Struthio camelus: one gene and its partners. The protein of the gene in region 2 interacts with the protein of the main gene of each other region in a biochemical or structural test. Links are inferred from orthologs where the notes say so. Each region holds a gene or a part of one and is shown on either strand. Other genes may lie near its edges.

What was found.
Region 1: of the proteins of PCNA (region 2) and USP1, one has a biochemical effect on the other in vitro, tested with the Homo sapiens proteins (6 studies listed by BioGRID, with this or other methods). The link is inferred for Struthio camelus from reciprocal best matches to the Homo sapiens genes PCNA and USP1.
Region 3: the proteins of PCNA (region 2) and POLL form a complex in vitro, tested with the Homo sapiens proteins (3 studies listed by BioGRID). The link is inferred for Struthio camelus from reciprocal best matches to the Homo sapiens genes PCNA and POLL.
Region 4: the proteins of PCNA (region 2) and CHAF1A form a complex in vitro, tested with the Homo sapiens proteins (4 studies listed by BioGRID and IntAct). The link is inferred for Struthio camelus from reciprocal best matches to the Homo sapiens genes PCNA and CHAF1A.

The regions. Positions count from the first base shown.
Region 1 is NC_090949.1:35,396,033-35,402,945, reverse strand, and holds the start of USP1 (ubiquitin carboxyl-terminal hydrolase 1), read right to left. Parts: upstream 3,017-6,913; 5' UTR 2,865-3,016; exon of another isoform or gene 2,686-2,864; intron 2,417-2,685; 5' UTR 2,339-2,416; coding exon 2,169-2,338; intron 1,024-2,168; coding exon 900-1,023; intron 541-899; coding exon 433-540; intron 1-432. UniProt on the Homo sapiens protein: Negative regulator of DNA damage repair which specifically deubiquitinates monoubiquitinated FANCD2. Also involved in PCNA-mediated translesion synthesis (TLS) by deubiquitinating monoubiquitinated PCNA.
Region 2 is NC_090968.1:2,625,783-2,633,601, forward strand, and holds the start of PCNA (proliferating cell nuclear antigen), read right to left. Parts: upstream 3,002-7,819; 5' UTR 2,648-3,001; coding exon 2,427-2,647; intron 1,577-2,426; coding exon 1,479-1,576; intron 1,213-1,478; coding exon 1,145-1,212; intron 1,068-1,144; coding exon 873-1,067; intron 539-872; coding exon 415-538; intron 301-414; coding exon 218-300; 3' UTR 1-217. Other genes in the region: CDS2 (phosphatidate cytidylyltransferase 2), read left to right, coding at 3,301-3,369. UniProt on the Homo sapiens protein: Auxiliary protein of DNA polymerase delta and epsilon, is involved in the control of eukaryotic DNA replication by increasing the polymerase's processibility during elongation of the leading strand.
Region 3 is NC_090948.1:16,303,797-16,310,684, forward strand, and holds the start of POLL (DNA polymerase lambda), read right to left. Parts: upstream 2,999-6,888; coding exon 2,884-2,998; exon of another isoform or gene 2,638-2,883; intron 2,606-2,637; coding exon 2,308-2,605; intron 1,625-2,307; coding exon 1,456-1,624; intron 1-1,455. Other genes in the region: protein DPCD, read left to right, coding at 2,997-3,086, 3,535-3,706, 4,657-4,725, 5,419-5,543, 6,309-6,442.
Region 4 is NC_090967.1:4,459,031-4,466,582, reverse strand, and holds the start of CHAF1A (chromatin assembly factor 1 subunit A), read right to left. Parts: upstream 3,015-7,552; 5' UTR 2,856-3,014; coding exon 2,849-2,855; intron 2,502-2,848; coding exon 2,451-2,501; intron 2,214-2,450; coding exon 1,393-2,213; intron 1-1,392. Other genes in the region: SH3GL1 (endophilin-A2), read left to right, coding at 4,527-4,571. UniProt on the Homo sapiens protein: Acts as a component of the histone chaperone complex chromatin assembly factor 1 (CAF-1), which assembles histone octamers onto DNA during replication and repair.

The DNA of each region.
Region 1 (6,913 bases), on a different chromosome or scaffold from region 2:
TCTGCTCTGGGAAACAAGTGATTCTCAGTCAATATATTGCTCTTCTGCCAGCAGAAGACAAATACAAAAGCCCAGGAGACTGCTCATTTTAAAAACCCAAAACAGCCATCTCTGGCCAAACAGCAATTTCCATCCACTTACAAAGAGTATCATAATTATCTTAACGTGAGAAATATGGTGAGATAAGTTTAATAGAAATTCAAAAACCTAAGACGTCTGCTTTCAAGCTTTACAGGAACTCTGAGGAACAGCATCAAATTTGAATATAAATCCAAAACAATTCAGTATCTTCACATTAAATGGCACTGCAAAAGCCATACTGCAAGTCTTCATATAAATACAGAAGAAATCAGTGAAATGTACATTATACTCCTGGCATATAGCCTCACTTGCACAACGGCAAGTAAAAGAACATGCCGTGAGAAATATTACCTTTTCTGATTTTTGCTCTCCTTCATCCTTCAAAGATTCTTTCTTCTTTGAAATGATATTATATAAATGCTTTACTCCAGTTTTAAAACCAGGACAGAAATATAACACCTGAAAGCAACAGTTTAAAACAAGGTAACAGGTGATAAAGTAAGAAGTTATTCAAAATATATATCCACACTTCAGCTCAAACTAGCGTTGCATCTCCTAAGGCTACTGCACAGCACTCAAAGGTACAGAATTATTCATGGCAGGGAGGTGGCCAGAGTATGTAAATTGACAGATTACTCAATCAAGGCAATCTACGGTGCACATATTCCCTGCCGTATCATCTTTTTTTTCCACTGTAATTACACTCCCTCTATACAATATCTAGACATCATCTAGATAATGTCCAATTAGGAATCTCATCTGCTTGTACATAATCAAAACAAAATTGTTTTTTTAAAAGCCCCTGAACACGACTTTACCTGAAGTACGCTGTTAAGGTAACAAGTGTTACCTAGATTGTTCAAGCCCACAAAAGGCAACATGGTGTCCTTTTTCTCACAGCTAATGAGTGACGGAGGCTGTGCTGCAGGAACAACCTGATCACTATTAAATAGAGAAAACAGTACATGAGAGAGAATTTTTAAACATTAGCCTTTCTAGTACACATGCAATTATCTCTCCTGGCCATCTACCATTTCAGAGTTACCTTATAAATTAGTGACTAATAAACATAAATCAAAATTGCGTTAAACTGTTTCTGAAGGCTCAGTATGGCTACCCTATGCACTCAAAGACAGACCCACTCAACTGAAACACTTCTTTCTAGCAACATACACAGAAATAGACAGGTTTACAAGAAGCAGGCAAATCTGTCATTAGTTCCAATACATATTTTTTGAACAAGACCAGGAAACTGACTTAAGGAACTAAAACATTCGTCTTTTGAACGCTCTTTTATGCTCTTCGTCTACTCCTAAGGCAGCACTAAGATAAATGTGCCTAGCACATATTTTCCTATTACTACCTCTACTCCAGATTCATGTCATATAAGTTCCTGAAAACAAAACAAAAGGGTAAAGACCTAAGAGAGGAACCTGGCACATTACATCAGTGTTAATGTGCTGTTACTTGTAAAACAGGACCAAATCTTACTATCTTAAATGCATTTGTAATCTGCCATGATGAGGCAATTTTTCTTTTTCCCATTAAAACTTTTGCACTACTTGCAGCGAAATGAGTTGACAGACTCACTCAAGGCTTGAAACACCCTAATAAAAGTTAGTAAGTAGCATAAATGATGCTTTTACTTGTAACAGAAATAACATTTTAAAAACCAGTACTTTTCACTAAAACTAATTTTGCAAAAAAACAAAACAAAACAAAACTTTTTTTACCTTTTAAATAATGCATCAGAATAACTACCTTCTAATAATGTGAAATAACGGGTAACTTCCTCAAGTTATTAAAAAGTTTTTGCCAACTAAACATTCATAGTGAGGCAAGTTGATTCACTTGTTTTCTTAGAGGTCTCAAGTAGGAGTTATTTCAGTCCGATTAACCTGGGTCTAGGGTTTATATGATACATGTTGAAAAACATATTGAAGCAAGAATATAAAACTTAACAGATGGATGGAACAGCCATCGCTCATCCATTATATTAAACAGAACTCTCTGAATTATTGGATTATTTTTTACATCGATCTACATCACAATCAGAAATTCTTATTCAAAACGAAACTCTTACATACATTTCAGAGCCTCTGTATTCTGAGCTCTTTTGTTCATTTTCTTGTGACTCTGTAAAATCCAGTGCTCTTTTCGCTTCCTTTTTTTGGAAAAGCTTCAATGAAAGCCTGTTTTTCTTTGACGGGCTCCCTCTCGAAAGCCCGTTACTGTCACTCGGTAACACACCTGGCATTTTTCCTCCCTCACAAACAAATAAGGGCAGGGGGGGATAAGAGCAGCCCGGACAGAAAGCTGCGAGCGGCAGTCACACCTGTCAAACACACACACACAGCGTTACCGACTTTCGCGGCGGGAAGCGGCCCCCGCCCGCCCGTCCCCCCAGGGGCCCGGGACGCCGCCGCCGCCCCGGCCCGCTCGGGAGGCCCCTCGCGCCGCCCCCAGCCCGGACCGACCCGACCCGGCCCGGCCCGGCGAGCCTGGCCCCGGCGCGGCGGCGGCGGCGGCAGCAGCCGCAGCCGCGGCCCGAGCCCGCCGCCGGGCGGGAGCGGATCCCCGCGGGCGCCGCCGCCTCCTCCTCACCCGCTACATCTTCGCGCGGCCCCGGCCGCCGCCGCCTGCCGCGCGCCCGCCGGGCGGGGGGCGCTGCCCCGGACACCCCCTCCCCGGTTGCTATGGAGACCGCGGGGCGCCCCGGCGCCGCGCTCCCCACAACGGGAAACTTGGCGCGTTTTCCGCGGCGCCAGGACCCGCGCCCTCACCCCTCCTGGCGCCCAGGCGCTTGCAACCGCCTCGCGCAAACGCCGGAGCGGAAGCCGCCGCCGGCACCCGCGAGGCCCGCGGGGCCATGGCGATCGCGAGCGGCCCGCGCCCCAGCGGCGTGCGGCAGCCGGGCCGGACCCGCGCACGGGCCGCGCCGGCAGCGCACGGGCCGCGCCGCCGCGCCCGCAGTCAGGCAGCGCGGCGGGCAGCCCGCGGGGTCCTGACTGGGCGCGCGCGGGCGCTGCTAACGGCCTGGCCAAAGGGCTCGGGCTTGCGAGGTGGAAGGCGAGCGGGGGCGGGGAGGAGGGGAGGCTGGGCTAAACCATCCCACGGAACGATCTCCCCCCCCCCCCACCTCCAGGCGGGGAGTGGATTGGTCCCGCTCTGACCCCGCCCCCTCCCGCCTCTGCCAATCAGAGCGAGCGGCGCGCGGCCAATCCCTGCCTGGCGGGGGTTGAGCGTGCCTCTCGCGCCGTTCAAACGGGCCCGAGGTAACGGCCGCGCGGGAAAAGGGGTGGGGCGCGAGCCTCCGCGGCGCGGCCGGGGAAACCCCGTGCCTGGCAGCGCCGCCCCCGGGGCTTCCCGCCGCCGGGGGGAGGGCCGCGCGCGCGGTGACGTCAGCGCCCGCCGGCCGTTGGCCGGCCGCGCCCGGGGGGAGGGGCGGCGGCAGCCGGTTCGGGCCGGTTCGAGCCAGTTCGGGGAGGGGAGGGGGGCTCATTTTCTAAGTGCGTAGGATAATTATCGCCAGCTTTTTTCACTCATAAACCAAGGATTCTTGTCTTAGTTCTGTGAGGGCGGTGCTGAAAATTTAGGGTAGCGCGGCTGTGAAGAATCCGGGCAGTCAGAGTCTTCGTCATGGCTGCGAGGACCTGAGTGTAGGCACCACATGCCGGCAAAAGCATGTTTGGGCAGTTTTGGGGAGAATAGTAGAGATCAGCCTGTTCTGCTGCTGCACATCCCTAGAGAGGCGGTTTGCAGGTAGAGCAGTACAAGAAATCTGCAAAATCTGTGCCTAAAAACGTGGTCTGAGTGACCAATTCTGATGACGGTTGGAGTAAATATGTGTATTACGTGCATGATACGTGTTCCAAGTATGGATTCAGTAGACTGTCTTAACAAAAAAGCTAGGAGGGTTTTTTTTGGTCCTCCTCTTCCCCCCCCCCCAGCCTAATGGTATGTTTTTGTTTTGAAGAAGAATCTTTGGCAATCAAGATTATGAGAGGTCATGAAATACATCTCTTTGTCTCTGAAATTGTAGCAAAGTAAATTTTAGATAGGCCCCTTAACTCGATTAGTAGATGCTGTTTATGAACAGAAACAGTTCTACGTACCTGAAGAGATAGGCACTTTCCTTTTGTAATAAAAAGAAAGACTGACATTAGATTTAAAATATTTTAAAGTGAACATCTGTGGAACACAGAATCATCCTGCTTATGAAAAAAGGCCTCAATAATTCATTGTGGCTTCACTTGCTCTGAATTACGAGGTCTTGCCTTTACTTACAAGCCTCTATATTTCACAGATTCATCTGGCTCTGAAAATTGCTCCTTATTTACTCCATATAAGGTCTTATATTTTTCACAACTCCTATCCAATGACAGGACTTACTGAGTGAGACGGGAGAAACATGATGGAGATGTTGCTGTCATCAATATTTCTTATACCACATGAACCAGCTATGTCAAATCTATATACTATGATCCTACATAGTTTAATATTGCCTCAAAGTGTCAGAAGTCTTTTAAAGATTCGTTTTTTATCTTGAGAACTAAGGAGGCGGCATGGTAGTGACAATTTTTAGGCATTGGTGTAACAGTTATATTTTTTTAAAAAGCCTGTTAAGCCAAGACACAGTTGTTTGTTGCAAGTATGTCTGTGACTCCATTGGAAAACTTCTGTAAGCATTTTCGAAGTTACTCAGTAATACGTTTTAATAGGATTGGTTTCATAACCAACTTGAGGCCATGCCCAATCCTAGGCCTTAGCATCCCTTCACCTCGGGCATAGTTACCGCCAAATTTGAGCACTTTAAAGCTGGAAGGCCTCCAGGCCAAAGTCCAGCAAGTAGCTGACTCCTGTCCACATTCCAGTATATTTTACACCCCTCTTTTCAAGCAGTTCCCTCAAGATTTATGCGCTTGTTTTTTGTTATCAAAAGTTACACATTTGTTGTGCAACAACGTATAACTTTGACATTTGTTGAGTAAAACCTGTTAGTGATACAAGAAAATTGGAAGCCTAGCTCTTAATCTGGATAGGGTTTTTAAAGCAATTTTATTTCAGAGAGTTCTCTGCAAACTGTCTGGATTTGTTAAAATTGCTACATGAATTAATTATTACTGTAGATCAATATCCCTAAACACAGATTTGAATTATGATAGACGTTGCCATACACTCTGATAGTCATATACATTCTTGGAACACATATTTGGCATTTTCCTACTGGGCAAAATATGCTTGTATGCCTGCACGAGCACAGGCCCCTCACCTCAGGAGGCAAGGTTCAGATCCTCAAGGTATGTCTTGACCTAACGATTTGTATACTTGCCTCATGGGGTTTACAGAACTCCAAATTTGGTTCGATACTGAGCTGCCATTGAAAGTCATGGGATTTAGCATACATCCAAATGCCTGACAGCTTGCTAAGTCTGCCAGCCTGCATGGCACCGGCATGCAGATACCATAGGGTTTCTGTTGCAGCGAGAAGCTGGCTTCCTGCAGGGCTTGTTCTGCGCTGAAAGGGCAAGTAGGACTCCTAGGGTTTGGAGCATGAGCTGCTTTTACAGAGGTACAGCTGCATACCAAAAAGCTCTGCGTACCGTGTATCTTGTGATGTGGGTGCATAGAGCTAGATCAAGTATCAGACCCCGCTGCTTCCTGACCTAAATTCTGCAGTACGATGCAGACATATATACATTTAACTCCACTTTGTAAACTCAGCTGTAAGTTCACAGCAATTAAAATACACAAACACTCAGCTCTACAGAGGTTCTTTTCTATGAGACAACAAGTGTAATTAAGTTGTGTCCAGGTGGGTGGTGCTCAAAAGCCACGAAACTGCTTCGTTGCTTAATAATGTGTTTCATTAAATCTGCTTTATGCTGCCAATTTCAGGAGCCAACTGAGGAGTCTCTTCACCGAGAGCTGGAAGGTGCTGGGCGATCAAGTCTGTGGTAGAAACAGGATGGTGTAACTGAGACAAGATGAAATCTGTAAACGTTTGGACCTTGAATCAGTAACACTGCAACGAAAGCCAAAGGCAGGAGTCCAGTTGCTCCGGGTAGGCTTGTCTTTGAAACGACAGTGCTTCCTTACATACCATATATGTGGTAAAGTCTCTTAGGGTAAAAGCTAGAATTCTTCTTTTGCCTAAAACCCACACCCACCTAGGAAAAAAAAGTAATGAAAGGTCGGTGCTTGAGGCAGTTATGCATTGTTTGCACATGCCCCATGCAAAAAGATAATAGTATGACCTTGGGAATGTGCGCTGGTCCAGACCATCTCTTAAACTTAATCCCCAAGGTCTACATCCAAAGGGGAAGTCATCTCACCCTATAGTGAATGTGATTTGGAGGCAACATAGACACGTAGCTTAAACCACACACCTATTTTTTAGGTGGCCAATGGACAGTTAGTTGAATCCAAGCAGCATGAGTAAAATTGTGTCCTGTGCTGTGGCCAGAAGAAAGTCCACGCTCCACAGAAATCTCAGAATTTGCCTAGTGCATGGGTTATCTGCACTGGGCCAAATTTTACCAAGCAGTTGTGCATGCTGCATGCCCAGCATCACTGAGCCACAGGACATGGGGCTTGATCGAGCCCCTTGTGTGCAGAAAAATTTGCTGCCGTACAAGCTAAAGAACCTGCTTAATGCCAGTCTAGCTGGCTACAGTAGATTTGTAGTGTTTTCTTTTGAAAACAATTTCTCTGTTGTTTTCACACATTTTTTCCAGATTTCAGAGCAACATCACAGGATGCGACACATCACAGGGAAACATATTATATTAGAAAACCAGAAGCTATTAACCTGAAGTACAACTTTTTACTC
Region 2 (7,819 bases):
GGAACAGGAATAATCTAGAAGAGCAAAAATTCCTATTTTGAATGACACCAGTATAGCAAAACAGTAAGCTGAAAAATATTTACAAAAGTATCTACAAAACAGGCCTAACAGTGCTCATTTGACGGTCCAATGTACTGAAACTGCTGAACTGTGCGGACAATTTCCTTCACAAAGTCAGTTGTCTTCTCCAAAGAGCTGAGCAGATCTCCCAGCCCAATTAAGAACCTTCTTGTTGATCTTCAATCTTTGGAGCCAGATAGTATTTTAAGTGTCCCATGTCAGCAATCTTGTACTCCACAACTGGAAAAAATATTCAGAAAATAGTTCAGAAAAAGCCAATCAAGCCCTCTTAACATAGTTCTAAGAGGACAGTGCTCTACAGGGTTACTTCCCAGAAGAGCTGCTTCTACTTACCAAGAGGAACATCTGCAGACATGCTGAGTGTGACTGTAGGTGACAGTGGAGTGGCTTTGGTAAAAAAGTTCAAATACCTCAAAGCAAAGGTTAATTGGACAGGCTCATTCATCTCTATTGTAACCTAGGAGAACATCAGCCAGGTTAGAGTTCAATTAACACAAGCCACAAGCTCCCCCAAGTTTGTCAAATAAATCAGTGTCACAGACCTAGACACCTCAGGCAAAGGCAGAGAACAGCCAGCACTATTCCCCACTCTGTTCTGCTTAGCACTGCACGGCAGACCCCAGGGCTAAGGGGCCAAAGTTGGCAGTGATTTGTTGACTCGCTTCTACAAAGTGGAGAAAAACAACCCATCTTTATCTACCTGTAGGTGGCCTATGACACTACCATAGAGAGTAAGTTACTAGCAGAAACCTTAACCCTGAGAACAACAGCTAGCCATCAACACAACTTACAGCTTCTTCCTCTTTATCCACATTACTGGTCTGTGACAGTTTGATGTTCCCATTTCCTAGCTCTCCATTAGCTGAAAACTTCACACCATCTTTGGCACAAGAGATGACAACTGCATCTCCAATGTGGCTGAGATCTCTGCAGATGCGTGCAAACTCAGCAGAAGGCATCTTCACTACACAACTGTATTCTTGCTCCTGCAAAGGAAGTGTCACAATTAAACTTCTACCAAGAAGCTTGATGTAGTCACTACACTTCAGTTGTCGCTACTTACTGGAATTCCAAGTTGCTCCACATCCAGATCCATTAGCTTCATCTCATAGTCAGACACTTTTTCCTGATCTAAAACAAACAAAGCTTAGTCCGACAAAGTGTTTAAAAAAGCCATCATCCTCAATTTAAGTTCTACCCAAAATTTTTTCCGGAGTAAAAACACCTCAGTTAGGATAACGGGATCCATCTTGTTTAGTCCCATTTTTGAGAGCCTTCCAGCTTCTGAAGTATTTCTTCTTGGCCCCACCACCCAGACACAGGAAGATCACCACATACTTAGGAAGATCACCTAAAAACATCACAGGAGCAAATTATTTACTAAACATAACACTTACTTGGTGCTTCAAACACTAGAGCCAGTGTGTCTGCATTGTCTTCTGCTCTGAGTGTTATTATGTCTTCGTTTCCAGCACATTTCAGTATTTTTGACATGCTAGGGGAACGAAAACTAGATCGTAAAAGGTCCCAGCCTGATAGGGCAAAAATATGGGCTCACTACTCTATAGTGTTAAAAGTCGTCTAAGAAACAACCACTAGCCTCCAGTGCAACACCTGACACAATCCTGTATTATGATTTCTATGCAGTCCTTTACTCCCTTCTGCGGGCACAAAACCCTCACCTTTAGCACCTGCAGCACACCCCACAAGTTCAGAAGGGCAGTGAACCCTTTAGATGACAGCCAAGTGCCAGGAAGGCAGCACATGCTGCTGCGCACCTCGGCCTGGGAGGCCAGACCCCCCCCCCCCCGCTTCCAGCCACCCTGACGGCTAACAAGAGCCGAGCTCAGGCTTGTCCCCCGCTGCCTCCCTGTCTCTTGGGACGGAGGGGACGCAGGGCCACCCGGGGAGACGCCATGGCGGGCAGGGCCCTGCCAGGCCCCTTCCCCGCCCGGCTTTCCCGCCACGGCGCGCCGGCAGTGACGTCACCGCCGCCGCCAGGCCCCGCGCGCGCGGCGAAAAACGGCGCCAGCGTTCTGTGGAGAATGGGGGAGGGGCGGCGGCTGCTCCCCTCAGCGCCGAGCCCGCCCCCCCGCCCCCACCAACGGGCCCTAACGGCTGCTCCCCTCAGCGCCGAGCCCGCCCCCCCGCCCCCACCAACGGGCCCTAACGGCTGCTCCCCTCAGCGCCGAGCCCGCCCCCCCGCCCCCACCAACGGGCCCTAACGGCTGCTCCCCTCAGCGCCGAGCCCCCCCGCCCCCCCGCCCCCACCAACGGGCCCTAACGGCTGCTCCCCTCAGCGCCGAGCCCGTCCCCAGTCTCCGACAGGCCGCGGCCGCCGCTACCTGGCGAGGTTGACGCCCATGGCGATGTTGCGGTCGCAGCGGTAGGTGTCGAAGCCCTCGGAGCGCAGCGTGAGCTGCACCAGGGAGACGTGCGAGGAGTCCATGCTCTGCAGGCTGATGCCGCCCGAGCCCAGGTCCCAGCAGGCCTCGGTGATGAGGTCCTTGAGTGCCTCCAGCACCCGCTTGAGCACCGAGCCCTGCACCAGCCGCGCCTCGAACATCCTCGCAGCGGCAGCGACCGACGAGGCCCGCCCGCACGCACAAACAGAAAAGGTAAGCGGCCGCCAAAGGCCGCAGCCCGCCAAACGCCGCTTTTATACCCTGCCCCCCCGCCCCGCCCACCTCCGGGGCGGCGCCAATCGCGACCCGCGCTCCCTGCAGCGAGGCCCGATCCACGCTCACGTCACGCGCTGCCCCGCCCCCTTCCCCCCACCCCGACTCCGGCTAATCCCGGCGCCGCTCCTCCCCTTAGTCCCGCTGCCCCGGCGAGAGCCAATCAACGCGCGCGTTACACACACACGCACATAGAACGCGAGGCGCCAGGGTCCGTCTGCCGTCACCGGGCACCACCCATCATGGCGGCGCGCGGCGGAGCGGCGCGCACATCCGGGTACACCTGGGCGGAGCCGAGGAGGAGGGAGGGTGATGGGCGGGGCCTAGAAGCCACACCCACCCACCCCTCGGGCGGGCGGGCCGTCCCGCGGCGGCGATTGGCTGAGCGCGCCTTGCGCTCGCCCGCCCCCTGGCGGCCGCGGCCGGGCGCAGCGGCGGCAGCAGCGGCGGTAGCGGCAGCGGCGGCGGCGGCAGCAGCGGCGGCGGCGGCGGCGGGGGGGAGTCGGGCGCGGAGCGGCGCGGAGCGGAGCCCGGCGCCGGCATGAGCGAGCTGCGGCAGCGGCTCGGCCGCCAGCCCGGCGCGGCGCCGCCGCCGGAGCCCGAGGAAAAGGTGGGGGACGGCGGGGAGGGGCGGCGGGGCCTGGGCCGCGGAGAGCGCTGCGGGGCTGCGTGTGCGCGGCGGAGCCTTCCTCCCCCTCCTCCTCCTCCTCCTCCTGCTGCCGAGCCGCGGATGCTTCCCAGCGCGGAGATCCGGGCGGGTTTTTGGGGCGGGGAACCCCGAGGGGACGCGGGATTTCCGAGTTATAACATATAACCCTTGGCAAAATACACCCCGCGGCGGGCCAGACGTCGCGGCACCGAGACCTCGGACGCTTCGAGGCCGTTTTCACGCTTGCGTTTCTCCTCGGAATAACCCCCGGGAAGGAAACCCCGCTCTCGCTTTCCTGGAGCGCCTGCCTTCCTTGCGGCCCCAGCGCGGCGCGATGCTCCCGCTCCGAACCCCGCGCTCGGCCGCCGCTCCGCCAGCCCTCGCTGCGCCCTAAGGGCCGGGGAGAAGCAGCCACTGAGCTGTCAAGGAGAGAGCAGAAGTCTCTCTGGGCAAATAACAACCCTAGGAAGCGTGGCAACACCTGGAAGGGAGACCGCGCTCCTTCGCTGCGTTCGCGCCTTAGCGTGCGCGTTTTTTTGGCCGCCCCGTTTGCCCTTAGCCGGCCCTCGGGAGCGTCGTGTTGGTGGCGTTCCCTCCTCCGCCGAGCGCGCTCTGCGCCCGGCCGTGAGATAATCCTTCAGAAACCTCTTTCGCGGTTTAACGTCCTGAGAGGACGGGAGCTGGAAAGCGCTGACGGCGTTGCGAGCGGGTTGCCTCGGTGCCCGTCTGAAGTTTCTGCCTTGTGCGTGGTTGGCGCGAAGCGGGCTGGCTGCGGGGCGGATTTGGCCGACCTCGATCGGAGCGGCAGTCAGAGCGCTCTTTTTTGTCGCGGCGCTGCGTAGAGCAAAACCGTTATCCTCTAGATAGTTGCGTTTGCCAAGCCGCGGTCTTGCTTTAGCTGCTCGTGCTGTGTTGCTAAAGCAGGTCAGAGGGCCGCTAGTTTGACCGCGATCTTGTTATCTCCGTGCTGTGCTTTTTTTTTTTTTTTTTTTAAACATATAATGGGCCTTCTAAAGGGCTCCTCCTCTTTTTTCTTTCCTCCCCTGAGATCAAGCCTAACATCGGTAGAAAGCCAACCGGCCGCAAAACGGCTCTTCTCATACTATTTATCGGTGGTCTTAGCCTGTCCGGGGCGCCGTGCAGTTATCGCTGTCGAGCGGGGAGATGCCCACGGCCGCTGCGTCGTTCGGTTAGCCTCGCCGGGAAGAACGATTTAGCGAGAGGTATTATATTCTGCAGAAACAGCTGTGGCTTTTTGCAAAGAGCTTTTGGTGTATTAAAGGAAACAAGTGAAAATGAGTTGTAAGCCTCAAGGCTGTTTTTAAGATCGGACCCGGAAAGTCGTAAGCTGGGTTGCTTTGTGCTTGTTTCCACTTTGCTCTGTTTTGACGGTGGAAAGAGAGAGGCTGGTTTCACTTTCAGGTCCTGTAACCCTTGCACGATATCACAGCTTTGACCGTTTCCTCTCCGTTGGCACCAGGCGGTGTTTACAGCCGACACCGCGCTCATTCAATGGAGACCCTTGGGCAAGAACCTTTTAAAATGGACTTTTGTCAAGCTGTCCTGCAGCACAGTCTTCTTCCCGAAAGGCATAAGGCAGCATCTTCTTACTCCTTTAGGAGCGAACTCCATCAGGTCTCTCTGGTTAAAAGACAGGAGGAGAACTTGAACTGCTGTTTTTTGTGCGTGGTGCCTGTTTTCTCTTCGCCCGAAGGACTTAAATGCTCTTAGCTGCTGCTGCTGCTGAGATTAGATGGTTGGAACAAACTCTAGTTTCTTGTTACCATGCAGCTGCTGTTCTCCCTCGCGTCTCGTAGACGCTGCGTTTTACTTGATAGGCTCATTCGTCATGTAAAACTGGAGACAAGAGATACGATCGCTCGTGTTGTAGGCATCCCGGTGAATCCCGTTTTCTCTTCCAGCTTCCAAAGAGAGTAGTAAAGGTGCCAAAAATATATATTTCACAGTATGTGCAGAGCTCCTGAACGCTTCTGCTGTTTTAATGGGATTTTAATGTCATTCTTCAGTAGTGGTTTGTGCTGCCTGTGATTCGACAGCGAGGGCAGCGGTTTTTTCCCCCTTTTCTGGCCTTTTGCTGGAACGTTGCACTGGTTCGGAAATCGGTGGGGGACATCTCAGGGGCTGGCCTTGCGGAAGGGGAGGAGGGCAAGTCTATTTAGGGGCAGGCTTATCTGGGCTGGAGATCACACCAACGGGCAGGCGTCACTCGGGGCTTTGTTTACCCCCTTCTTTGTCACTGGCCCTCAGTGCCTTGGTGGAAAATACTGTCCCCGGCAGGAGAGGCAGCAGCTGCAAGGGCAAAGGGAAGCGGTCCTCCACGCAGCAGCCGCGCTCTGCGGCGTCCCCGCGCCACGGGCCGGGCAGGCGAATTTTTTCCACGGTGCCGCGTTCGGCGTCTCGTCGCACCTGCAGCAGATGCTAAGTAAACGCCAGGTATTTGAGCACTAGCGCTGACCGCTTCAGGTCTGCTTGGGAGGGTCAAGGGCTGGTGCGAAGGGTTGCCTGGCCCGTGCCGAAGAAAAGGAAGGAGCAGTTAAGGCTGCTGTTTGGCTAGGGAGAGAGAGCGGGGCATGGATGCGATGCCTCTCTCCGTCTAGTGCATGGTTAAGAGAGGCAGAATTACAAGCCCTCTTTCAGACCTGCCCCAAAGGCTCCTTTTTTACAGCTCTTAAAATTATTTTAGACTTGATCCTGAGCATCAGTTTGCTTGGCTTCTGCTGAAGAGTGAGCCTCATTTATTCTTCACGGATGCAATCTCAGGTCTGATTTCGGTCGTCCTCGCTGCTTAACGCTCAGCTTTATGCGCGGCTGCCGAGAGGCGTGCCGCGTTATCCGCCACTGTTAATTGTGGCAAGGAGAGACGGGACTGATTGCACTTCTAATGGAGCTCGTTATAACCGACGGTCAACGGTTACTACCTTCCCCAGCTCCTGGCCTGCCCTGGAGCCAATGCAAGAGGCACAGACTGCTTGTGATGTCCTTCAGACAGCGGCCCACTACTCCCTTCTGCCAATGGCACGCGTCCTCCTCCGAACTGCCCGTTTCCTGGCTCGTTTGTGGCGATGCACCCTGGGACAGAGTGCACCCTCAGCAAGTTTGCTGATGATACTAGACTGGGAGGAGTGGCTGACACAGCAGAAGACTGTGCTGCCATTCAGAGGGACGTGGACAGGCTGGAGAGCTGGGTGGAGAGGAACCTCCTGAAGTTCAACAAAGGCAAGTGCAAGGTCCTGCACCTAGGCAGGAATAACTCCAGGCACCAGGACAGGCTGGGGGCTGACCTGCTGGAAAGTAGCTCTGCCGAGAAGGACCTGGGAGTGCTGGTGGACAACAAGTTAAACATGAGCCAGCAGTGTGCCCTTGTGGCCAAGAAGGCCAATGGTATGCTGGGGTGCATTAGGCAGAGTGTTGCCAGCAGGTCGAGGGAAGTGATCCTGTGCCTCTGCTCAGCCCTGGTGAGGCCTCACCTGGAGTACTGTGTCCAGTTCTGGGCTCCCCAGGACAAGAGAGACATGGCACTGCTGGAGAGAGTCCAGCGGAGGGCTACCAAGATGATTAGAGGGCTGGAGCACCTCTCCTAGGAAGAAAGACTGCGAGAGCTGGGCCTGTTCAGCCTGGAGAAGAGAAGACTGAGAGGGGATCTCATCAACGTGTACCAGTATCTGAAGGGGGAGTGTCAAGAGGATGAGGCCAGCCTCTTCTCCGTGGTGCCCAGCAACAGGACAAGAGGCAACGGGCAGAAACTGAACCACAGGAAGTTCCACCTGAACCTGAGAAAAAACTTCTTCACTGTGAGGGTGACAGAGCATTGGAACAGGTTCCCCAGAGAGGTGGTGGAGTCTCCTTCCCTGGAGATATTCAAAACCCGTCTGGATGTGATCCTGGACAATATGCTCTAGAGGACCCTGCTTGAGCAGGGAGGTTGGACTAGATGGTCTCCAGAGGTCCCTTCCAACCTAAACCACTCTGTGATTCTGTGATGCCGGAGGAGTCTGATCCCAGGAAAACGCTGCTGCTTTAGGGAGCAAGCGCGTTGGAGTCGCCCCGCTCCTTCTAGGACTGCAAGGCGGCCCTTCGCACAGAGGCGCATGTGACGACGCGATGGCGCAAGCGCCGAGACTCGGGATGCTCGGGTGAAACCCCCCTGAAACGCTTGTTGCTTTTCCGTCACTCAGCCCCTTTGGTTTGTTCAGAGCTGGCGTCTACGTACCGCCCTTATTTAATAACTAGACAATTTACCCGCGGGGGTCTCTCCTTGCCGCCTGCCTGCGACCAGACGCCGGGGACCAGTCTCGTGGCCCGGAGGGAGGCCCGCCGCTGCGAAGAGGGAAGTTGGGATGCGAGTTTTGTGTTGCTCTTCCCAGCTGGGGCCGGCGCGTATCCTGAACGG
Region 3 (6,888 bases), on a different chromosome or scaffold from region 2:
TAACAGAGTTCCCTCACAGAGAGCTCACATCCAAACACAGGACCTCCCGGAGCAGCCCTTGTCCGGTATAAAATACTGGAACACTCACCATGCCCTAGAGAAGAACATTCGCCCAAGCTAGAAAGGACGCTGTGCTTAAATGGAGGCTATTTCCAACCTAAGAGTTCAGCTTCAGCTTTTCTGTTAGAGCTAGGTCTTAAAAGTACTTGGCACTGTCTTTAAAGTATGTCCAATGGATTCTCCTCTCCTCCCCAAACTAACCTAGTCCAAAGCTTGAGCCAAGAGATTTTTCTCCAGTCTGCAGATGGTTCTGGGCACAGATTAACCACAGAAAATATCATCGTTTGAAGCAATTTAAAAGAAAAAAAAGCAATACGGTTTCAAACAGACTCTAACTGCTGTCTGATCACTAAAGTAAACGTGAGCAGAAAGCAAGGCAGCTGCCACGGGATCCATAAGAGTACAAAAGCCCTTTCCTTCAGTTAAGGGTGAGATTCGTTAATAAAGACTGCCATTAAATTAACCAGAGTTACAAGAAACAATAAAGATGGGCTAACAGCAAAGCTGATGAAGAGATTAGAAAGCAGCAGCCAATTCTGTCTATAACACACTGGATAGTAAGTCTGAGAAGGCGCTCCCCACATACACATTCAAGAGAAGGGGAAAGCCCAAAACAAAGGAGCCCTCAGTGGGCTGCCAGCTAGGCAGGAGCTGCAGGGTTTTATGAAACAGAATTGGCAACTGTGATTTTGGAGTGTGCAGGCAAACTTGGCATCAGAGCACTATGAGATGGCTGTGGCTCCCAGAGGTCTGGAGTAACTTTGCTACAGATAGATCTGGACGATGCCAACGCCAAAAAAAAAAAAAAAACAGCAAACGAGCAAAATGCAGAAAAAGAAAAGATAGCTAAGGTCGGGTCTGGAGAAGGCGACTCACAGCAGAGGCCATTAATAACCCAGCATGGATATTTTAAGCACAACACACAATCATTTGAGTGGCAACCTGATCTATTGCACATGTGTCTGAATGGGGTGCTTGCCAAGAAGTGGAGAATGGGTCAGTATGGCTCAAGCAGGAACACAGAATGAAACATCAGAGTTTCCTGAAAGGGAGATATTCTCGGCCAGGGAATATTCCCCAAAAGGAGGCAGAGGAAACATGATCACCAGAGTGAGCCTTGGCCTGATCAAAGCACCAGGACTGCTTCTGCTGGAAATGTTTTGATGGAGACAGGAATTTAAGGGGTGTTTTTTCCACTTTTAACACCTAAAAGGAACAAAGAGAAGCAGTAACTACGTCCACAGCCCAAATCTGCCAGCACCAATCCACTGAAATAGCCAAACGCCTTCGCTTTCCTGATGTTTTCTGGCATCATAGCCCTGCAGGGATGCTCTTAGCCAAGAAAAGCAGTATGCAGGACCCATTCACAAGAATGACCTGTGCTGGAAGCCTCACCTCAGCTGGCTGCTGCTGTCCAAGGATGCCCAGGGTTTGCGGCAAGGAATCTCCCAAGCGTGCTTCAGCCTTTGGTTTCACAGCTCCGTCCCCTGACTGGGGCTGGATCTCTTTGCTAGCCAGGAGCTTCTGCTGCTGCTGTTTTTGCAGTTCTCCCTCCTCCAGGTACCTGCCATAAGAGGTAGCATAAGAGTAGAGCATAAGAGCAGGAAGACTTCTCAGCCCCCAGATGTTTGACTAGGAAATCCTTCTGCAATTTTTAGGGACGGAGCAAACAACCAACAAGAATTTTGCTCTCTCAGATCACAGATTCATTACTTCGGTCTTGGCTCAGTCTCCCAGTCTCCATTCTCTTCGTTGACCTGCACCTTTCACTCCTATCTACCTTAGTCTTAGACTCTTCCTCCAAAGCTCTGCCAATACATTTTGATCCTAACCTGCAGCTGCCTGCTGCTCCGTTTGTGTTTCCTTGCGTGCCTAGTAGTCAGTTCTCTCTCTATTTTTCATCTGCAATAAGCAAAAACAGCATTTAATTCTCAACATTTCTAAAAAAAAAACCTCCTTGCTATCACTGATGGATTAGGAAGAGCTGCCTTGAGCACCTGTAGCAAGCAACAGTACTCCTGGTAGCATTTCCGGGCTCTATTCCAAGTTCTGCTATCCCACAGACCAGTAACTAGTCACAAAGCGACTAAATTTCATGAACTATACAGGGGGAAATGACTTTGAGCCATGCCCAAGGGACCTGCAATGAGTTTCAGTCTAAGATCTTGAGCAGAGGTGAAATACCAGTGCAGCTCAGCTTGGAATAGAGGCACTGTGGGGGAGAACGACAGCCTAGGATTTGCATACCTGCAAGGGATAAAGACACTGTAGCCAGTGGTACTCAGCAGCTTCTGGTCTCTAATGCAAGCACTTAGCCAGGATGCCTTCACTAGCTGCAACCCTGAAGGTAGCTTGGGTAACTTAAGGAGCCGAAAGGCACGATCACAGTCCATGTCTTCAGCCACTATGACGTGCGTCACCTCCGAGGAGAGGTGGGCGTGGACCCGACCCCCATTCTGGACAATTTGCTTGTGGAAGATCTCTGCCCTGGCTTGGCCAATGCCAGCTCGCAACACATAGGCAGTGACTGGTTTCAGCCACTCTGCTGAGGAAAAACACAGGGCAGGAGGTCAGTGTGAGAGAAAGAGTGTCCCAAACCAGTCAGGCTACCTCTCTCATGCGGGACTCCTTGGGATCAACCGCGGCAGGCAATCTTTGGGGGCCACCAGCTGCAGGCCTGTGGCTGGACACACCAAACCTTGCCAGTCGCGGCCTCTACAGGAAAAGCACCTGGGCCAGAAAAAGCCTCTGGGAGAAACACATCTCCAGTTAACAAGCTGGGAGATGAGCACTGTATACGCATGACGGGCAGACTGCACTTACCCTCAGGTACCCCTGCTCCTTCCTCTTTGGTGATCTTTGGAGGGATGCTTTTCCCCGAGTCATCCCTCACCTTCTTCCTCTTGGGAAAGGCCTTGACGATCCCCCGCGGCTCCATGGGCTGCGCGTCGCTTCCCCGCGGGAGGGTAACGCTGCGAACGCCGAACACCGCTAAGGAAGAGGAAGGTTGCTCGGCACAGTATCAGGCAAGCACCCCAAGCCAGGCTCCGCTCATTCGGCTCGCAGGCCCGGCCGGCGCGGGGCCTTCTCCGTGCTGCCTCGCCAAGGCGCGCGCGCCCCGGGGGAAACACCTGGAAGGGAGGGCGCAGGACCCCCGGCAGAAACCGCTAAGGAGCCACTTAAGACGAGCCTGCTCGAGGGCCCTGGAAACCACGAGCAGCAGGTGCTCGCAGCACAGAGGCAACGCTCTGTTAACGACGAGGAGCTCCTTCCTGCCCGGCCAAAAGCTTCATTTCCCACGGGTGTTTTAGGGAGGGAAACACCCCTCGCCACCGGGCGCGGGCAGCCGCCGCCGCCATCACCGGGGCCTCAGGCCGCAGCAGCGGCAAGAAACCCCCAGCCCGCCTCCAGCTGGAGGCAGAAAGTCGCAAAGGCCGCCCGGGCCAGCCCGACAGGTTCCCCCCGTCACTCCAGGCCCCCCGCCACCCCTCTCACCGGCGGGCCCGGCCCGGCCCGCGATGGCGGCGCTTCCGGCAGCGGGCGGAAGCGCGCGCGCTGCCATGGCGACGGCGGGCGGCCGCCATGGCGGTGCCGAGCTGGCTGGAGAGGCTGCGGGCCGCCCGCAAGACCGCGCTGGTGCAGGACGGTAACCGGCGGCCCGGGGCGGCCCTCCGGGAGCGCAGCGGGGCTGGGCGGGAGGGGGGCGCTGGCGGGCAGCGGCTTGGGGCCCTGCGAGCCCGCGGCCATGCAACCGGGGAGAGGGTCCTTGAGCGGGGGACAGGGCCCCAGACTGGGGTGGGGGTGGGGGGGGGACGACGACATGGCCCCTGAACAGGGGACAGGGCCCCAGACTGGGGTGGGGGGGGACAGGGCCCCTGAACAGGGGACAGGGCCCCAGACTGGGGTGGGGGGGGACAGGGCCCCTGAACAGGGGACAGGGCCCCAGACTGGGGTGGGGGGGGGGGACAGGGCCCCTGAAAGGGGACAGGGCCCCAGACTGGGGGTGGGGGTGGGACAGGGCCCCTGAAAGGGGACAGGGCTCCAGACTGGGGTGGGGGTGGGACAGGGCCCCTGAACAGGGGACAGGGCCCCTGAACAGGGGACAGGGCCCCAGACTGGGGGTGGGGGGCAGGACAGGGCCCCTGAACAGGGGACAGGGTGGGACAGGGCCCCTGAACAGGGGACAGGGCCCCAGACTGGGGTGGGGGCGGGACAGGGCCCCTGAAAGGGGACAGGGCCCCAGACTGGGGGTGGGGGGCGGGACAGGGCCCCAGACTGGGAGGGGGGGTGGGACAGGGCCCCTGAACAGGGGACAGGGTGGGACAGGGCCCCTGAAAGGGGACAGGGCCCCAGACTGGGGGTGGGGGGCAGGACAGGGCCCCTGAACAGGGGACAGGGTGGGACAGGGCCCCTGAACAGGGGACAGGGCCCCAGACTGGGGCAGGGGGGCACAGGGCCCCTGAACAGGGGACAGGGCCCCAGACTGGAGGGGGGGGCAGGGTCATACATCTGGGGACAGGGTCGTAAACCCAGGGACAGGGCCTCCGAGAAGGGGCTCCGTCTGCCTCCCACCCTCACCGCCCACTTTGCCTCTAGGGAAGAAGAAGGTCCACTACCTGTTTGAGGATGGCAAAGAGATGGCTGAAGAGTACGACGTGCAGACGGGTCAGTTAGTGAGTAAGTGACGCGCTCGGCTGGCCCCCAGCTGCCCCAGGCGTAGCAGAGCGAGGCGAGTGGCACCAGTGCGTGCGTGCGGCAGCAGGTCTGCGCTCGCCAGCCTGGGGTAATCTCCCGAGGGACCTCCTGGTTAGAAAAAAGTTGCTCCCAAATGGCCCAGAAGACAATTCTGCCTTTAGCGCCCCTGAAATTTGTAGGGATGTAAATAAGGTCCAGCTTGGACCCAGAGGTCTCTCCCTTCCAGGGCATAGCAGACCTTATTTTAACCCAGGATCTCTCCTAAACATCCACTCTGTCACAACAGGCTTGAAGGGACCGAAAGGGATTGCCCTCTCGGTCTGTAGCACGCGCTGGGGTGAAGTATGCTTTTTGACAACTTCTGCAACCGCAAGCAGGCAAGATGTCAGTTTGGGTCTTACCCAAAACCACATCAACTGCAGTGTGGCACCTGCTGCAAGCCCTCTGTGGGTTCAGCACCGACTAACAAAAGAGAGAGACTCAGTGCTGATTTTCTGACTTTAGGAGCTGGCCAGCTAACTGATCGACTTACACCTAAGTGGAAATGACTGGAATTAAGGGAAAAGGCATATCATCTCAATGGGCTGGGCAATTTTGTTGGCTATTTTCTGGAGTACTTTTTATGGAACAGAATAATGAAAACCCTCCTTCTCCTTTCCACAGGTAGAAAATGGCGAGAGAAGAATGCTTTAGGGGGCTCCGGCAAGTGGCAGGTTGAGGTGGGAGAGCCAACCTCACCTCTCGTGGGAACACTGGAATCAGAGCTCATAAAGGAAAGCAGCTCCAATGTATGTAAAGGGTCTGCAGGCACCGCTCCGCCTAGAAACCTAGCCTCGTGCTTACAGTAGTAGTTCGTAGACTGCAGATCACTCATAGCCCCAAGAGGCAGCCTTAGCTGGCCTAGTGCTCATCCCATAGGTGTGGGGCTGAGCAGAAAGGGCACAGTTTAGTTTGTTTGCAGTCTTCAAGAGCTTTGGAGTTTCCTTAAGTAGAGAAACTGTCTACGTTGCTGTGTTGGCTAGCTCCTGTTTTGGCTTCCAAAAAATAGCCTCAAAGGAAGGCCAGTGCCTGGACAAGTCAGTGGATGGAAAGCAGAGGCAGTGACCATGAGAACATGACACCTGCAGTGCATAGCACTGCCTGTATCAGCTTCTCATCCCAACAGCTTGCAAGGCTGTTAGTCTCTAATCTGAAACACAAGCACAGCCCTGCACAGCAAACTGGGACACAGCCAGGACCAAGTGCAGCAGGTCCCTAGGGTAGGGGAAGAGGCCCGGTTTCCACATAACACTGTCGTTCAAGAGCCCCTCGTTGAACATTCCCAGCCTCCTACAGGCAGGGCAGGCAGTGAGTGCCCTGGGTAAAGGCTGTGCCATAGCAGTGCCAGCTTTAGGAGACTGATGCTCAGGCAGTTTGAGTTATTCCCTGCTCTGCTCGAGTGTGAAGGAAGGGCTGCCTCATGTGAAACCTCTCAAGATAGTACAGGAAGAAGGGCTAGGGAAAAGAGAAGACACAACTGGAGGGGACTTGCTAAAGGTACTTGTTTGCTGCAGCCTGTCTTCATGAGGAAGGATACCCTGACCAGCTTCCAGTGGCGGATCCGTAACCTGCCCTACCCCAAGGAAGTTTACAGTGTCTCCGTGGAGAAGGAGCAGCGCTGCTGTGTCATCCGGACCACCAATAAGAAGTCAGTAAGGACAGCACTGCCAGTGCTGAGAGTCCCTCGGGGTGGGCTGGCATAGAGGACAGGCTAGTGATGGCACAGGGGAGGTATCATCTCTTGGCTTTAGGCTCTGCCATGCAAGGACTGAGCAACCACAGCCAGTATACACAGCTGAGTGCCTCCTCCTGTCTGATTTCCACTCCCAGGTACCCCAGACATGTCTCTGGTAAAGCCCCTCAGCTCTGCGCTGCCCTTCACAAAATTATCACACAATTCCAGTAACAAGATGTTTGCTCTGTCCTTTCCCTGTCCAGCAGCACTCCTGTAATAAATAAAATAGGACCCCCTCCCCGACCTCTTGAAGCTAGAGTCGCCAGCTCTAGATGACGGAGCATTTGGATGACACTTTGATCTAGTCACATTTCAGAATGTGTGGAGCTGCAGGATTCAACTGGTATAGCATAAGTCAT
Region 4 (7,552 bases), on a different chromosome or scaffold from region 2:
AGCTGATGAAAAGCTTTCTCAAAAGGCTCAAAACAGCAGAAAGCAATTCTCGCCAGAAGACATAACTGGCGAGCGCAAACCCAGGAGCAGTTCCACCCCTGCTCAGCACGTATACTTTCCTATTCTACTAATTTGCTCCATCTCTTCACCCTCATTTACTCAAGCCACATATGTCGTTTTCAGACTCTCACAGGGCAATATCCACTTTCCTGATTTTCCCCTCTAATAATGTAGTTAGGGCAAAACAAATACACAGGCCAAATAGTCCGGACTAAGTCTAGGCCAGGCTTGCCTAGAGTGTCCAAGCCCATTCACCAGGACTGCTCTACCCCACGCCTTTAAGGATGAGGTTATTGTGCCTGCTGCAAGAGAAACTCCCACTTTACATCTCAACGGATATATTCTGGAAAAGCCTATTCACTTCTCAACCGTTCAAGTCATGTGATCCTTTCAGCCATCTGCGCAGATAATGCCCTCTTTAATTTAAGAGTTCCCCTTGCAGTACAGGGCCAAAAGTCACAACGCTTTCATCACTTTCTCCATAGAGCCGAGACACTAAATTGAAACTAATTCAGATTCCAAACCACCAGCTCATGCAGAGCTATGGCTTTAGAGGTGTTCATCCTTGTGCTCCAACCTTCGCTGGCCAAAAGCATCACATGACCCCAGGAGCGCTGAACACACCCTGACTTTTCCCCTAAAGCAACTGCCCATGTCAAATGGTGCACACCTATCAAGATGGCTGACAGCACAAGTTTTGTACCCTTAATTCTGAGAAGCAGATAAAGACTCATTTGACTTGTCCTCTGTCCTCAACTGCCAACTTACAGGTCCTCAAGGCACTGCAGCTTCGCTTAAAGCATTGTTTTCTACCCCCCGGTTTCAGAAACACGGAACTTGAGAAGTATCCGCACCGACTTGTGCTAGAAGTGACTAGGCTACGCTTCCAATTAGCGTTCTGTCATAGTAACTGGAACGGCCTCGTGAAGTACAGAATGGAGGTTGTAAAACATCACTTACAGACAAAACTGCTTTTGAACACTGTCCACGCGCTAACTACCAAAATGATAAGTCACGAGGCATGCACTTCATCATCAATTTATAAGCATGAATCTATAATAGAACTTAAAGTTACATTGACACTACGCGAACTTACCAGCAGCTCAAAAGAGCAAGATTTAAATATTTTAGGTAAACAGTTTAAAGGATTCAAAAGGGTAATAGTTCAGTTACTATATGAATAAGTTGGCAACGCTCTCCAGACTCTTCCCATGAGCTTTGTGAATATCCTAGTCATCCTTTCCACTGTGAGCTCAGAAAGCCTTATTACCTACTATACTCCCTACTCTAATGAAATAATATTTAGAAAACAACCCAAGAAGAGAGACCAACCTTCCTAATAGGCGTGGAGACAGCTAAAGGACTACAGTTTCTCTTTGTTTCTGCAGCAGGCTGTGCCTCAGGTGAGCTCACAGAGTGAGAACTTAAGGAGGAATTAGTAAGTAGAGAGTCTCCTTCGCGGGATGATTCCAGAGTCTCATTTTCTGATGTGATGCTTCCATCCAGAGAAGCAACTTGAGGAGACTTGGCAGTCATAATATCCTCCAGGAGCACTACAGGCATCTTCCCCTCAAATATGACATCCTTCAGTTCACTCTGATTTATCTTTGTTTTCTCCAAGTTGTTACACTCTGGTAACCCAGAACAAGACTGGCTTCCACCTACCAAAACTTCATCTTTATTTGCCGCAGCTTCACACGGTGCAGTCTCCATTGAATCATCCATTGGGCTATTCTGACTAGAATTCATGCAACTCGACTGGTTTATATCTTTTTCTAGCATGCCATTAGTTATACCTACAGATGAAGATGCTTCTGAATCTAAATTAGCATGGTCCACATCATCACTCAGTCTATGGCTAGAGTCCTTTGTCAGGTCAATAATGATTACAGTGTCATTTGTGTTATGTTTTGTGTTTTTCTGTATAAAGTGATCTAACGGACCCTTTCCGTTAACAAGTTTTGGAGTAAAATTCACATCTGCATCCAACTGGCAGTCATTCTCCACATTGTCCAGGGACGCACATGACGTATCGAGAGAGGAATCCTTGTTTTGTCCAAAACTGCTTTGTGAGCTCTTTACTTTTTTGACTTCTGAATCCGCATCATATTTTTCCTTTGGTACAGGATTCAAGCGCTTGAAAGGCAGCCGGGCTGAAACAATAACATTTCGCTATTTTAGTCACATCATATAAACCCATGGGGGGAGGGGGGGGAAGGGACACAAACACTGCAATATTCACCTAGTTCTTAAACACAAGAAGAGAAACTGATGAGCTAGAAGGGAAGAGTTTATTATCGCAAACACAATCTATTGTACAAGTTCAGGCCTGACACGTTTTAAAGCACTAAGACCGCACTGGGTGCTAGACACCTGCTCCAGAGCCTTACCTTGCACAAGCTTCCGTGGGGGAACAACCGCTTTGCCTCGACACTCCATGGCTGCAAGGAAAAAAAAACACCAGTGACAGGTTTCTGCTTAGTCACCTGCTCCCCAGGGGCAGCCGGGCCACAGCGGCCCCGACGCCCCTCCCCAACACGCAGGGCAGTCGGGACCTCTCGGCCACACAAAGCCCAGCCGCGACCCGGCGCCCTGAGAGGGCCTGGCCACCCCCCGAGTAGCAGCGGCGGCAGCGAGCGGGGGACAGCGGCCACCGGGCCGCAGCGGCGGCGGGACCAGGCCCGGCGCCTCCCTTTGTTACCGCAGGAGGCCTCAGCGCACCCGCCGGGAACCGCAGCGGGCCGGCGGAGCCGAGGGCGCCGCCCGGGGGCCCCGCAGCCCCCCCTACCTGCCATGGGCGGGGGCGGCGGCGCCCGCCGCTCCCTCCGCCGGCGGCAGCGGCAACAGCCCGGCCCGGTCCCCTCTCGCCCCGCCCGAGCGGGACCCGCTCGTATTTGGCGGGAGCCGGGGCGACCCCGCGCCTCACCGCGCCGATAGGCGGAGCGCGCCCCACGTGACGCGCCCTTCCGCCCGCTCCGCCCCCGCGCCCGCCGCCCAAGTCTCGCGAGAACGCCGCCTCGCCCGGCGGAGGGAGGCCCGGCGCTTGCCCGCCTTCGCTGCCTTCCGATTGGCCAGCGGGATAGCCGCAGCTGATTGGCGCAGGCTGCTGTCAGTCTGGCCCGCTACGCAGAGCTGATTGGCTGGCTGAGGGAGGCTCCAGCTGGCTCTTCACGCCTGGCCTCGAGGCCTCGTTGCTCAGCGAGCGGGAGCCGAGACAGCGGCGATGCGGTCCCGGGGGAAAGCTCCGGAGAGGTCGGAGCGGCCATTCCGCAGCGCCGGGCAGCGGGAAAGACCCGGCCGCCGCGCCGCGCCGTCAAGGGGGCGCGAGCCAAACCGCGAAATGGCGGCGGCGGCAGCCAATGAGCGAGCGCCTTCCCGGCGCGAGCCCCCTCCGCGCGGGGGTGTGGGAGGAGGGCGCGAAGACGCTGCCGCAAGGGCCTCTGGGAGTTGTAGTTCGGCGGCGGCTGCGAGGCGGAGAGCCTCCTGGGAGTTGTAGTCGCCCCTTTGCCTCTCCCAGCGCTATGGCAGCCCTTGGGGGGGGGGGCGGGCGGGAAGGGGGGCACAGCTTGTCCCCACACTGTCCCCACACGGGCCCTCGCTCCCAGGCCTCGGCCCGCCGCCCCCTGACCCCCCGTGCTGCCCTGCCCCAGGCGGCGTGGGACGCAGCGCCCCGCCACGGGCCTGCTGGGGACGCGGCCCCCGCCCAGCCTGCCCGCCGCGCCTCCCCGGGAGCAGCTCCCTCCTGGTCGGGAGGGCTGCGGGCCCCATGGCGCTCGCGGGCTGGCGTTGTCCCCCCTCCTTAGGGACGGAGCGAGCGCCCTGCGGTGCCTCGCTCTGGCAGTTGTAGGAGTTGACCCTTCACGCTTCCGTCGCTGAAGGTATTTTTTTCACTTTAGGTTTATAAACGCGCCCCGTGGTCCGTAGCAGGGCACTCAGGGCGGGAGCGGAACCGGTTACGGGTCCGGAGAGAGCTGTTTTGCACCAGCGGCTGAGAAAGCGCTGCCTCCCGCGCAGGCGGCTTGTGCCCGTCTCCTGCGGAGAGTTACGCTGGACCGCGGAGCTGCCACGACGCTCCCGCCGCCAGGTAAGAGCGGAGCCGCTGAGGCGGCGGTCAGAGCGCGGAAGCGTCGCCGCGGCGAAGGCGTCGCTGCGCCGGGCCGGAAACCGTAGCCGACGGGGCGGCACTATCGCGACACAACCTCCTTCCCCTCCTCCCGGGGGCGCCTCCCTCGCGGCCTGCGCCGCCCGCGCCGGCAGGGGGCGCCGCGGCTGCCCGCCGAGCAGCAGGGCGGCGCTCTAGCCGCGCGCCTCTCGGTGGCGGCGGCGGTGGCGGCGCCCCGCCAGGCCGGCAGGGGGCGCAGTGGTGGCGGGTCGGGTCCCGCGGCGGCGGCGGCGGCGGCGGCGGAAGCTGCGCGCCAGGCGTCCGCCGCCCGCTGTGTCCGTGCGCGGCCGGCCGAGGCGGCAGCATGTCGGTGGCGGGGCTGAAGAAGCAGTTCTACAAGGCGAGCCAGGTGAGCGCCCTGCCGCTGCCCCCGCGCCGCCTTCAGCCCTCCCGGCGCGCTGCCCCCCCCCCCCGCTGCCGTGCTTCGGTGCTGCCCCGTTTCCCGCCGTCACCCCCCCCCGGTGCCCTCCTTGCCGGTTTCGTGTCCTCCAGCTTGGTGCCAGCCGTTATTCCCCGGTGCCCCCCCCCCCGGTATCGCCGTCCGGTGGCGGTACCGCTCCCTCTGACAACGCGCCGTTACTCCCATCCCGGACCGGTGCCCGTTCCCCCCCCCCCACACCCTCCCCGCTACCGGGGTCCGGTGCCGGTTCTGTCACTGCCAGCTCGGTGCCACCGGCGGGGCCCCTCCCGCGTCCCGAGGAGGCCGAGGGCCGCCGGCGCAGCGAGATGGCGGAGCCTCCCGGCTTGGGCCGCTCGTCGCCCTCCGAGGTTGCCCGAGCCCTGGGCCGAGCTGGCAGGAGACGCGGTTGTTCCTGTCGCACCGGCGGGTCCCGGGCTCGGGATGACGCCGGGTCGGCCGCCACCGCCGCTTTCTAGCGACGCTTGAAGTCCTCTCTCCGGGTCGACGGCGCGGACGCGCTGCGCCTCGTCGCCAGAAAGGGACGGCGGCCCCGGGACGGAGGGAGCTCGTTCCGCGCCCCAAACCTCGCCGCCAGCGAGCCGCAGCCGTCCCGTGGGCATCAGGGCGCGAGGGCGGCGACGGACCAGCGCGGCAAGGAGCCTGCAGGCGGTGAGATGCTCTTGGACTAAACGTCGAGTCGGTGTATGGATTCCAGGAGCAAAAAAATAAAGACGGAAAGGCTGAAATTCTGCAGCGGAGCAGAATTCAGGCCCGGAAGGTGAGGTCTTGGCTAGGGATCACCGGCCCTCGTTAAGCCCAGCCTGGCAGAGAGCAGCGGCAGATTGCAGCTGCAGCCTAACCTCAGGAAGTTCCCGCTTCCTTGATAGTAGCTGACATTGGGACTGGGAAAGGATTTTGCGGTTTGCAGGGTGAGGGTGTCCAGCTTCTCAGCCTGTGTATGCGCTGCACAGGAAATGGAGGCCTGGCGATTCTGGAAAAACTGTCAGAGGTGCAATTTTTTAGTAATTTATTAGCCAAACGAAGCCATTTAAAATCTTCCTTAATTGATAGTTCAAAGTGACGCTCCTGAACTAAAAAGCGTGTTTACGTCTTCGTAAAAAGTACATCTTAGGTATGGCTCCTCACAGCTTGGCGGTGGGCTGAAGTTCTCCAGCTGAACGCGGGGGGATTGGCCTCTAATGCAGTTCACAAGCACTTTGTGCCCCTGTTTTAAATTTAAGACAGATGAGTTTTGCACTGATCTACCAATTGGCTCTGTGTGTTTTCCAGGCGTAATGTTTCAACACTTCCAAGCTTGGTCCAAATATGTTTGCTACGTGTGTTGCCTCCTTTCTTGGCTGTAATTCATGTAAAAGCATTTTGCTTAAGCAGCAAAGCAAAATAATAAATTCCTTAAGTCGTTCCCCCATCCCTTTTCTTGCGACAGAAAAGCAATCCCCTGCATCTAGTTTTTTACAACTTCCAAGGGAAAGATTGCACTGAAAATTCATTGTTGGAGGATTTTACTTGTGCAGATCTGCTGTGTTGTCGTAGCAGGGCAATTAGAGGTGAAAGCTCATCTGTGAGTCAAAAGTAACGTGATTCTGAAGTCCGAGTGCGTCATCCTAAAACATCTGCTGAAACTTTTCACCAGGAGAATTATTTTAAACTGAGGTAAATCACAGGTGGCCTTTGCAGGTGTTTTTCTGTTCCATATGTAACTTTTTGAAAGGAACCGTTCTAGTTGCTCGTGGAAAAATTAAACCCCATGCAGCTCTTTGGTGAGATGTAGCCCAAATATTCTGACTTAGTGGCCTGTTTGTATATTGTGTGTGTACGCACATGCTTTATTTGAACACTATGTTCAAGGGCATTACTAAAAAGTGGGAGATAAGGTGTAGGTGCAATTGCACCTTGAGTTCTTTTGCAGCTCGTGCTGCTGCAGGGTTTTGGAAACTGATTTAATCTGAAGAAATTGCGTTTAACGCGAGGCTTGCTGCCAATATTCACGGTACCATTGCAGAAGTGAATTGCATGCTTTGCGGGGAAGTAGAGAAGGGCAGTCTGCTATCAGAGGACAGACACTGCTGGCTCCTTTGGAGCATCCTGGGGGCTGGGACGCAGAAGTATCTGAGCTTTAGAGATTCTTTTTCTGCGATCTGGGAGCGATTGGTCCCAGTTCTACCATTTTCCTGCATTCTCCTCCTCCTCTTTCCCTTTTCACTCTTCTTCCCCCTCCTTCCACCAGTCCCACTCTTGGGCTCCTTGGCTGAAGGAGAAGGAGGATTAGTTATTTTTTGGCTCTCTTAAAGGTATTAGGTGCTGCCAAACCCGAACATGTGGAAGATTTTTCCTAAAATGTTGCAGTTAATTCCATGTCTGTTGTTGATTGAAGGAAAACGTAGCCAGGACCAAGGCCTGTGAGGACCCTCTCAGAACCTCTCTGTTGCTGCAGCTCTGGGTGTGGGATTTTCCCCCTTGCCTCCCAGCGAGAAGAGGCTGCCAGTTCGGCCTCCTCCAGACCCGGACAAAGCAGGGTGGTGCTGCAGGCGGTGAAGAGGGCTTGGTCCTGAGCTCCTGCCTTTAGGAAGGCCTGACTTATCTGATTCTTGTGGGTCTACATGTTCCCTGGGTGAGGCTGCCAGGCGCCCACACGCAGGAGAGAGCCGAGATAGTATCCTGCAAAAAAAAATCCTGCTTGCAAATGCCGCAGAGGGTGAACAGTTCTGTGTGTGCGTCCAGAACAGGTTTTGCTAGTTCACAGTGAAATGTCCTTTTTTAAGGAGGGGGAAAAATCCCATCGAAAACATTCTCCCAAGAGGTAGGGGGAGAAACAACAGCATCTTTGAGTTCCAGCGCTGTGAGCCAGGAGCAAGGTGGGAAGTTGCGCTGCAGCCTCCGTCAGCGCCAGGGATGTGAGACCGGGCCGG